Caenorhabditis elegans: one gene and its partners. The protein of the gene in region 2 purifies or fractionates together with the protein of the main gene of each other region. This does not show direct contact. Each region holds a gene or a part of one and is shown on either strand. Other genes may lie near its edges. The genes, in order: F08F8.7, rpia-1 and fah-1.

What was found.
Region 1: the proteins of rpia-1 (region 2) and F08F8.7 fractionate together in Caenorhabditis elegans (co-fractionation; one large-scale study listed by BioGRID). This does not show direct contact.
Region 3: the proteins of rpia-1 (region 2) and fah-1 fractionate together in Caenorhabditis elegans (co-fractionation; one large-scale study listed by BioGRID). This does not show direct contact.

Annotation. Positions count from the first base shown.
Region 1 is NC_003281.10:7,345,517-7,349,272, reverse strand, and holds F08F8.7 (Ribulose-phosphate 3-epimerase), read left to right. Parts: upstream 1-2,123; 5' UTR 2,124-2,130; coding exon 2,131-2,228; intron 2,229-2,627; coding exon 2,628-2,927; intron 2,928-2,979; coding exon 2,980-3,067; intron 3,068-3,116; coding exon 3,117-3,314; 3' UTR 3,315-3,418; downstream 3,419-3,756. Other genes in the region: gos-28 (Golgi SNAP receptor complex member 1), read left to right, coding at 109-211, 582-691, 735-883, 930-1,014, 1,066-1,198, 1,548-1,672; F08F8.6 (uncharacterized protein), read right to left, coding at 3,449-3,493, 3,544-3,756.
Region 2 is NC_003281.10:7,121,356-7,124,836, forward strand, and holds rpia-1 (Probable-ribose 5-phosphate isomerase), read left to right. Parts: upstream 1-1,772; 5' UTR 1,773-1,829; coding exon 1,830-1,889; intron 1,890-1,936; coding exon 1,937-2,089; intron 2,090-2,136; coding exon 2,137-2,379; intron 2,380-2,503; coding exon 2,504-2,803; 3' UTR 2,804-2,980; downstream 2,981-3,481. Other genes in the region: B0280.9 (U3 small nucleolar RNA-associated protein 18 homolog), read right to left, coding at 233-365, 413-506, 564-664, 716-896, 945-1,153, 1,200-1,275, 1,381-1,536; B0280.2 (uncharacterized protein), read left to right, coding at 3,332-3,412.
Region 3 is NC_003284.9:6,447,295-6,451,050, reverse strand, and holds the start of fah-1 (Fumarylacetoacetase), read left to right. Parts: upstream 1-2,134; 5' UTR 2,135-2,142; coding exon 2,143-2,226; intron 2,227-2,278; coding exon 2,279-2,505; intron 2,506-2,998; coding exon 2,999-3,243; intron 3,244-3,289; coding exon 3,290-3,445; intron 3,446-3,570; coding exon 3,571-3,756. Other genes in the region: grl-6 (Ground-like domain-containing protein), read left to right, coding at 112-141, 190-347, 394-622, 667-789, 833-1,015. UniProt on the Caenorhabditis elegans protein: Fumarylacetoacetase involved in the tyrosine degradation pathway.

The DNA of each region.
Region 1 (3,756 bases), 220 kb from region 2:
TTTGTTGTTAATTTTCTAATCGTCAAAATATCGATGAATATATTTATTTCTCATAGTAGTGACCAACATTTCAGTCACTCGAAAAAACAATACTTTCAGGAACACAGAATGTCAGAAACTTGGGAAGCGTTGCGGAAGAAAGCCCGAAGCACAGAAAATTCCATCGATGTCAAGCTCGTCTCCCTGAATAAATTAACGGCTAGCTCTCATGGTAAGTATTACCAAGAATTTTACGATTTTATCCTCAGAAAATACGATACCGGGTCTTGACACGAAACATTTTCATAAAATACAAAAAAGTGTGCGCCTTTGAAGAGTACTGCACTTTCTGAATTGTGTTGATGCGGAAGTTTCAAAAAAAATATATGTATTTATTTGAAAAACCCAAATATTATATATTCTGAAAAAAAAACTTTAAAAAAGAAAAAGAAACTAATGAAAAAACCAAAAAGGGCATTTATAAAGAACATTTTCGTGTCGAGACCGGGTACAGTATTTTTGGCGTTTGAATAACCAACTTTCGAACATGTCTCTCAGAAAAATATTTAATAAACATGTTTCCTATTGAAAAAATATTTCAGGCGGTTTTGACATCGACGAGAAAACAGTTTCCTCAAGACAAACGAGCTTCAAAACAGTGACAACAGAAATCGAAGGATTGATAGAGCAATTGACAAATATCAATGATGATGTTAGTTTATTTTCAATTTTGTTTTTAAATTCGTCAACTTCAGATGAATGACGTAGCTGGTGCTCAATCCTCGGCATCTTGGGCTAATAATCCAGCCATTCAACACACACTTCGACGACATCGAGAAATTCTTCGAGATTACGGTAGTGAGTATCGACGTGCAAGAGATAATGTTGATCAGGTATTACAGAGGTATGAAAAATACTTTTTTTAAATTAAACAATACGATATTATTCAGAGAACTCTTGTTGAGCAGTTCAAATGAAAATCGTAATAATCCTATACTGAACAACAGGGCTCGTGGATATGATATGTATTTGAAGGTATTTTTGGGAAGAATTTCAAGAAAGTAGTACTAATTAATTTAATTTCAGGAGAATGACCATATAAACGCTTGTGATCGATTGTTAGATGAACAGTTAGAAATGGCAATGTCAACGAAAGAGAATATGGCCAGACAGGGAATTAATCTACGTGGAATATCAACTCGGCTTCATCATATTTCAAGTAATTTATCTTTAAAAGGGAAACAATTAAAGTAAATCTAAGTATTTATGAACATTTCTGATAAAAATGTTCCTGAAACACCCGATCTTTTTTGAAATCGTCAATCTAGATTAATTTAGACCTAATAAACTTGAGTTCAAATTTCTTGCAATACAGTTTTTTGACAAAAAATCTTTAAAAAAAAACAACAAAAAATTTATTTGAAATTTGGACCGAAAAACAAAAGTTAGAATTTCTCCAAAAAGCCGAAAAAATTTCAAAAAAAAATTCCTCCTTTCAACTGAGACTCAACATTTTTGAAAAACAGTTTTACAAGCTGCATAATAATTATCAAAACAACTTTTTTTAGAAAAATATCCTGCAATTAACAATTTGATGCAAAAAATCAAAACGAAAAAGCAGAAGAACACACTGATCCTTGCTGCCGTCATCTCATCGTGCCTTATTTTTACAATTTTCTGGATTATCAATTAATCAGTTTCAAATATCAAAAAAAAACTCAAAAACTTTTTCGAACTCCGATTTTCGTATTTTTCGAAGAAATTTAACAATCGGCAGTCGTAACTTTTTATCAAGTTTTCGAGTTGTTATTACTTTGTGTCAATGAAAAATAGAAACTGAATGATAAGAATAATCGATTTTTGTACTATTCCCTTGTCCCTTCATACAACGCACACCACTTTCATTGTGATATTCCTCACCGTTTTTCTAATTTTTACTTGTAAATAATTTTCTCGTTTTGTAATCTTTCGAGTATAATGGAGTTCTTGGCTTTTTCGTTTTTTTCTCGATGTGAAACAATTGGGTATACATATTTATGAATTAAAGTATTATTTAAAGATTTTTTTGAAAGTTTACAGTTGAAAGTTTAATTCTATAACTTTATTTGTTCATTGATTCTGGATGATAAAATTTATTTATCTAGAATTCAGATGACCCTCCGTCCATTTGTGTGTCCATCAATTCTGAATGCCGATCTTGCATCATTGGCTTCTGAATGCAAGAAACTTTTAGCAGCTGGAGCAGATTGGTAAGGTGATCTTTAGAAATTCTGAATAGTTTTGACAACTACTTTCATATTTAAATGTCCCTTTAGATTTCAAAAATCTAAATGGGAACGCACAAAAACCTCTTCTGAAATCAACATGGAAACGTACTCCACGGCCAATTGGAAACGCTCCGACCCCCCGAGATTACGGTCTCGTTAGGTATTTGGCCACAAAATCGCAAATTGAAATTGTTTTCATCTTCAAACACAAATTGGCAGGACTAATTGAAAACGCTTAAACTATCAATGTCAATACCTAATGAGACCCATGGTTCGAGGGGCGGAGCGTTTTCATTTAGCAGTAAGTAAGTAACGTTTCCACTTGGATTTTCAAAGGATTTACTTTCTGCGTTCCCATAGTATCCAGCTCCCAACTTGCAGGCTTCACCTCGACGTGATGGACGGTCACTTTGTACCAAACCTCACATTCGGTCACCCTGTCGTTGAATCTCTTCGTAAATCTCTTGGTGCTGAACCATTCTTCGATGTTCATTTGATGGTCTCTAATCCTGGACAGTGGGTTGAACCGATGGCAAAAGCTGGTGCCAGCCAGTTCACATTCCATTATGAGGCTGTAGATGGTGATGTGGCAGTCAGTGAATTGATCGAAAAAATCAGAAAAAGTGGAATGAAAGTGGGATTATCGGTCAAACCGGGAACTTCTGTTGAGCATATTTTGAAGTAAAATCAAAATTATATTTCAATCTAGATTTTAAATTAAAAAACTTTTTAGACATGCTAATCATTTGGATAATGCTCTTATCATGACTGTGGAACCAGGATTTGGAGGACAAAAGTTCATGGAAAACATGATGGAAAAGGTATTTATTTTGGTTTTTATTTGATACGAATAAAATTTATGGCTTTCAGGTTCGCACAATCCGTTCAAAATATCCAAATCTGACTATTCAAGTTGACGGAGGAGTAACACCTGAAAATATTGAAATCTCTGCTCAAGCTGGAGCCAATGCGATCGTGAGTGGAACTGGAATCATCAAAGCTGCAGATCAATCTGTCGCCATGACAACAATCAGAAATGCAGTTGAAGCTGCTATTTCGAAGTGCTGATTTTCTTAATTACTTGAATATTGTTTTGAATTTTGAAGCTCATTTTTTCAGAGCTTTTTGAGGTTGTGATGTTAATAGTTAGTAAATGATTGTCAATTAAAAAATTCAAAGCAGCATTTATTTATCTATAAAGTTCAGATGGGCTCTGCAGTTCCTAGCTTCGGGGTCGGAGCAGGTGTCTGAAAAAAGAGCATTACAAAACATCATGGACCATTCTTCAGTTGCTTACATTTTTAACACTTTCCTTCTCCTTGCTCGGAGTCTTCTTATCCTGATTTGATGGCAATACTCCAGTACTTCCAATTGTATCTTTACTCGGAGTCTTTCGTGGTTCGATATTTCCTGCCTCTTGGCTCATTGCAGTATTCAACGACGGCTCCTTGCTTCTTCCTCCAGCATTTGCAGTCTTTGTAGATTGCTTCGGAGTCAACATGATCTCACG
Region 2 (3,481 bases):
ATTTCAAATTTTCATCATATAATCAGGATGTATGTAAAGACTAGGTCATTTATTTTCACCGGAATTCAACAAAAAAAGATTTTTTTTTTTAAATTTTTGTTGCTAAACTGAAAATATCAACAAAAAAAAAGATGTAGCAAACTGTACAATTATATTAATATATGAATTATATGAATGAATGACAGTATCGTGATTTTACGAATTATAAAAGTTTGATTTTAAAAAAGCTTACCCAGTCGCAAAGTAATCTCCATGTTGGCTGATGGCGAGTGTTGTTCCGTGCACAGCTCCATCGTCGGTGAATGTATGTTGCGATGATTTGGTTCCCGGCAATCCAATGTTTGCGATCACAATTTGGCCGGTCTCTAGAAATTTCGAATAATTTTTGAATTTTTGGCAATATAAAACCAACCGCAGATGATCCAAATTTCACGGCTGTGCGATGGGAAAAACTTGATTTCTGACGCATTTGCTGGGAGTGATATTGTTGTGATATGCTCCATCGACTGAAACATTTTACATTTAAACTTTTAATTTGCCAATAATTTAATTTTTTGACATACAGTAGCATGGAGAACATAGATGTGAGAATTGTGTCCTGCAATTGCCAAAAATTGAGAGTCATGCGAAATGGCAAAGAGCCGAATTCCTTGCTTTGGTACTGCTGTAAAATGTTCAAAGTTTTGCTTCAAATTTTATTAAATATTAAACGTACTGTTTGGAGGTTTCAACTGTGTCACTTCTCTTGTTTCCATATTGTACTGCATCAAATATTCCTTTCGGCTTGAAGAACAGATCACAGAGTGTCCTTTATCAGCAATTTCCAGACTATCAATCGGGAATTTTGAGAAATTCGCACTTTGAAGGAAACGATCCTTTTTAACCTCACGACTTACCTGAAATAAGTAAGGAATGGTTTAATTAAAACAGAAAACACAACTTACTTTAAAAAGTTGAACATTTCCACCTTGATCGGCAACAATGAGCACTGGTCGGGTTTTATGAAATTTAACAACAGTGATTCCACGAGTGTATCGGTGTCCGATGTTGAAATCTTTTATAAGAGTTGTATGAATAGTTGTTTTTGGTAAATTCACGTCTTTCGCCAAATATCCGGCAGCAGTTTTCAACAATGACCCTTCTTCTTCGTCTCCTAAAATTGTAAAATACGATTTTTGAACTATTGATTTTCCAAAAACCTGCAGCAGCCTTAGCCCATTTTGGTGTGCCTCCGTGGCGTTTTCTGAACGCCTCTTGCAATCTACCAACGTATTCCTAAAATATTAAAATTATTTTTCAGAAGTAATTTATCCTTCTGCCTATTTTCAATTATATAATCTTTATTACACGTTGAATAACGTATTTCTAAAAAAAATTTACCTTTGAATCCAATTCTCCATGTTCTTCGTCTGTGGTTCGCTTGAGTTCAACTCGCATTGTCATTTTCACTTTTTTTGGAACCGCCACAACCATATTATCGTCGTCCTCATCGTGCCACGCAGGCTTTTCAGACTCAATCACTGGCCGTTTGCTCATTTCTCTGAAAATTGTTCAAAATAACCTTAATGAAAGATTCAATAAGCTGAAAATTAAAGAAAATTCGGAAAAGAAAAAAGAAAAATGAGAAGCAATTGTCGTCAAATAGTGTGTGTTATCGTAGTTTTAGTGCAAACACCGTCACGTCTCAATGCAGAATTTCATTAATTTCAGTATTTCAGCTGAAAATTTCAGTCTTTCTTATCAATTTACTATTGTTTTCGTTTTCTTTTCAGCATTTTTGTATGTTTTCTACAAAATTTCCATTATCAGGAGTATTGCGAACCGCCAGAATGGTCACCTCCACCGGCCCTGAAGCAGAACTGGCTCCTATTGAGCAGGCGAAGAAACGAGTAAGTCAAAAATTAAGACCAATTCCAACCCTCATTAATCATTTCAGGCTGCGTTTGCCTGCGGTGAAAAATATGTGCAAAGTGGTTGCCGTCTTGGTGTTGGATCCGGAAGCACTGTCAAGTATTTGGTAGAATATCTTAAACAAGGATTTCAGAATGGAAGTCTCAAGGATATCATCTGTGTTCCAACCAGTTTTTTGGTAAACAGATTTTCAACAAACCCAATTGTTATAAATAAGTATTTCAGACAAAACAATGGCTGATTGAGTCTGGTCTCCCTGTCTCCGATTTGGATTCACATCCAGAACTGGATGTGTGTATTGATGGAGCTGATGAAGTTGACGGACAGTTCACGTGCATCAAAGGCGGAGGTGGATGTCTGGCTCAAGAAAAAATTGTTCAAACCGCTGCAAAAAACTTTTACGTGATCGCTGATTATTTAAAAGATTCCAAACACTTGGGTGATCGCTATCCGAATGTCCCAATTGAGGTAAATTATTTAACTTTTTATAATTATCAGTAAAGAAAGATGCACTAAAGAATAAACTTTAGAACAATAGTTTTTTCTAAATAGATGTAGTTATGTTGACTGTTTTTAATGAGATTTATTGCAGGTTCTACCTCTTGCTGCTCAACCACTTCTACGTTCGATTCCACGCGCTGAAGGTGGAAGCTGTCAACTTCGACAAGCTGTCAAAAAGTGCGGACCAATTGTGACAGACAATGGAAACTTCATTATTGATTGGCAGTTCGAGAAAAACGTATCCGGAAGAGATTGGTTCGCGATTCAGCAACGATTGGCCAATACACCAGGAATTGTTGAAACCGGATTATTCATCGGTTGCGTCGACGCAGTATTCTTCGCGTACTCTGACGGATCTGTCAAGGAAATTGTCAATTCCAAGAAGCACTGACTACTTGCATCGAATTTTGTTCATATTGAAAATTAGTTGTTTCTTATCACCACCACACTCTCCAAACTTCACTTTTCCTCTTCCCAGTTGTTGTGAAAATTGTACCCATTCATTCCCAATGTTCCTAGTATACGTGTAGTTCTTAGAATAGCCCCAATAAAAATTGTGTTGAAAAAACGTCTTTCTTAAAAAACTGAAAAAAAAATTAGAAAACTCTGAAAACGTTTTGAAATGTAAAGTGTCTGGATGTAAAGTGTCTGAAACTGTTTAATTTCAAATTACAGTAGTCTTGAAGTGTATGAATGGCGAGGATAGCTTAAAGATTGAAAGAAATGAGAATTTGCTTCCTAAATGACTCATTGGAGGCGGTAAAATTAAGAGCGAGCAATAATTTCAAAAATACTGATAAAGTTGGGAAATAAGTAAATATTTCAAAATTTTTAACAATTGCTGTATTAAAAAGCACTTTCGTCAAATCGTATCATTCGTATTCTATTCATTCCAGATTGTTCAAATTTTAATTTCCAAATGATTACATCTGAATTGAGTGATTTCCTCGAGATCAACGAAAAAAATAGTGTTCTAAGAGGAATATCGGCAAGCGATAAGGTATGATTTTGTGCACTAAGAGATAGGCACGGTCTCTGCTTAAAGACAAATGTAGTTTCAATTCAACTA
Region 3 (3,756 bases), on a different chromosome or scaffold from region 2:
AAACTCAGAATTTCCCCCAAAAAACCAGTTGCACGTGCGAAGTAGTATAAATATCCGCGTGTGTGGTCGGAAACCATAGCTTCTTCCACTTCCATTCCATATTTGCGCAATATGAGTACTTTGTCGGTTGCAGTTTTCTTGGTAAGCAATGAATCATCGAATATCTCTTTTACTCATTCGGATTTTCAGATTTCATTTCATTTTGCCTTTGCTCAGTACCCATTTGGTAGAGGAGGGTGTGGAGGATGCCCGACTCCAATGTGCCAACCAAGAATGCCATGTGCTGCACCGATGCCAATGCCGATGCCAATGCCAGTCTGTCCTCCACCTCCACCATGCCCGGCTCAGTAAGTTTCAGCAATAAACCTAGAATATTCACATGCTTGTTCACAGATTCTGTCCACCACCACCAATTTGTCCTCCGCCTCCACCACCGCCAATGCCATGCCCTCCACCACCTCCACCAATGCCGAGACCATCTTGCCCGTGTATGATGCAACGACCATCGTTCTACCCATCATATGTTCCCCAGTACTATCAGCCAATGATGCCTCAGCCAATGCCAACAGCTGGAGGATGTGGAGGTGGTGCAGTTGTACCATCAGTCAGAATTCCAGCTCAGGTTGGTAGATTTTTGAAAGAACCTTTAAGAAAATATCATTTCAGAACGATTGTTGCTGTGGCTGCTCATCGCCATGCAAGTACAAAAGTGTGAGACGCGCCGCATTTGCAGCCAAAACAATCGACCCTTCGTGTAACAGTTCCGAACTGAAAAACATTATCCTTGATGTGAGTACACTCGTTTTGCACGTCAAGCCTACTCTCTTTTCAGAATATTAGCGAAGATGCAAGTGAATCAAAGAGGAACATTCAGAAAATTGCCGAAGAAACACTAGGCCATGAGGTGAACGTTATTTGTGGTACAGGAGAATTCAGTTACATAGCTCATACCGATACATTCTGCCAAGCATTTAAGGAAGATGTCACCTGTTATGCATTCAAACCATTGCAATAAACTTATTTGGTGTTTTTTTTTTGTCTGTATTTCCTGCTTTTTCTGTCCACTACTGGCTTCAATAAATTAATTTTTTGAAAGTTTTTAATTCAATTTGATTTCGTAAAAGCAAAATCCAACAAGATATAAAAAGTTTGAAACTAACACTTATACTCAACGACAGTAGAGAAAGTGTTAATTCAATAGTTCATCGCTGTTGGTGTTTGTATTTTCAAAATGTTTAACCTTAAAAAATGTTTCTTGTGTATTACAACCCTTTATTATAGAAATAAATTATTTTTATATTTTTTTGACCATTTCACTCGCCGTACCTGTTTATCAATTACCGATAATATTTAACAATACAACTCACCTTTAAGTTACAACTTTTGACCTGCTCAGCAGGCTGTGGTGATCTGAAATCTACAGGTTAAAAACCTACATCCGATTGTGAAACGTTTTCTCTACTCGAAATGGTGGTAAGAGTTTTCTAAGATACAAATTGCTAGAGACCGTTTTTCTTCTGATATAAAAAGCGTTTTAGTAGCAATTTATCTTCATGGAATTGAGATTTCTATATTATAAACATAAGCAACTCTAAAAAACACTAGTTCTCCACTCTTTAAAATCGTCATACTCCTACTTGCTTTTTATTCATGAAACAGTATCATTGCCAATGCAAACAAACAACTATAGAATAATGCCATCCAAACATTCAAGAAAAAATCATCACGTGACTGTTTCGCAATTCAATTTGCATCCAATGTAGTTTTCTCTCTCTTGTCAAAACTTATCTGATATACTCTATTGTTTTATCCAATTGACGTCACTATCATCATCTTATCTTTTCAATTAGATTTGTGAGACCTTATATAGCGGTTTCAGTGGTGCACATCTGTCATTGTCACTGTCTGTGTGCAGTCATTTTTTTTGGTTATCGTTTTGTTTTTATTGGTGGTCGTTTAGTCGTGTATCGACCTTGGCCTATGCGTGTACGACTCCTTTTTGTATTTGTCACTAGCACCCTCTCCAACCTGTATGCTATTTTCTGTTTCAACGCCGCATGCGTGTACAGTTTCGGAGACATAACAGACTGCTGTCTACTCAACTCCATTTTTCAAAACTTGTATTGCTTTGCAGGCTAAATCATGAAATCCTTCGTTTCTGTTCCTCAAAACTCGGATTTCCCAATTCAAAACTTACCGTATGGTGTTTTCTCAACAAAGGCTGACGTAAGTGTATAAATAATTATTTCTAAAGCAAAATTAAACTAAATATTTTCAGTCTTCCCGCCACATTGGAGTTGCAATTGGAGATCAAATCCTCAACTTGGCAGAAATTGCCAATCTTTTTGACGGACCTCAATTGAAGGCACATCAGGATGTTTTCAAGCAGAGCACATTGAACGCGTTCATGGCACTGCCACGTCCAGCCTGGTTGGAAGCTCGTGCAAGAATCCAACAACTGCTCTCAGAGGATTGTGCTGTTCTTAGGGATAACGCTCATTTGAGGTGAATAAGTTGGCAAAACAAATTTGAAAAAGTTAAAAAGTAGTACAAAGTGTGTCTGATAATCTACTAACCAAATCTAAACAACTATTTCACAAGTTTTAATTTTTATCGTTAGTTTATAATTGCAAAGTTGAATCAATACTGTGCAGCAAGTTGGCAAGTTGAAATGTATATAGAAGTATGTGAAAATGTTCGGTCAATCTGAAAAAAATTATTTTATTGAGAACGCCTGGAAACCCGTCAAAGTTTTTGAAATACTTCATTTGACTTTAAATATATCGTTAAACTTTGTTGGCGACTTGTAGGCATTATTTTTAAAAAAATCTATTTCAAAATCGAGAAAAACCTACATTTTTATATTAATTTTTGATTTATAAATTGAAATCTCATACTGTAATTAGAAGCTTTGTACGTTTTGCGCACAACTTACATATAACTCTGTTTAAAACAACCAAGAAACTTTGTAATAATATTCTTATGTTTTTATTTACAGAAGCCGGGCTCTTGTCGCTCAATCCGATGCTACAATGCACCTTCCAGCTCAAATCGGAGATTACACCGATTTCTACTCCTCCATCCATCACGCCACCAACGTCGGAATCATGTTCCGTGGAAAGGAAAATGCTCTGATGCCAAACTGGAAGTGGCTTCCGGTCGGATACCACGGAAGAGCTTCATCAATCGTTGTATCTGGAACAGACTTGAAAAGACCAGTTGGACAAACTAAGGCCCCAGATGGTAAGATTTAGATTTGCACCAATAATGCAAATGTGTCCGCTTTCAGCTGAGGTTCCATCGTTTGGTCCATCAAAGCTTATGGACTTTGAGCTCGAGATGGCGTTCTTTGTGGGAGGTCCAGAAAATGAATTGGGAACTCGTGTTCCAATCGAGAAGGCTGAGGATCGTATCTTTGGAGTTGTGCTCATGAACGACTGGAGTGGTGAGTAACGATGTTAATTAAATATCAAACAAAAACATTTAAACTCGACATTTTGGTGACAAGAAAATTCAACAGTAGTTATTTTCAAGTTTGCTCCATACTCATCCGAAAAAAAACTTTTCCAGCTCGCGATATCCAAGCTTGGGAATACGTTCCACTCGGCCCATTCCTTGCTAAATCCTTTGCCACAACTGTTTCTCCATGGGTCGTCTCAATTGAAGCTCTTCGTCCATACTTTGTTGAGAATCCAGTACAAGATCCAGTTCCACCAGCATATCTCCATCACGATGACCCATTTACCCTTGACATCA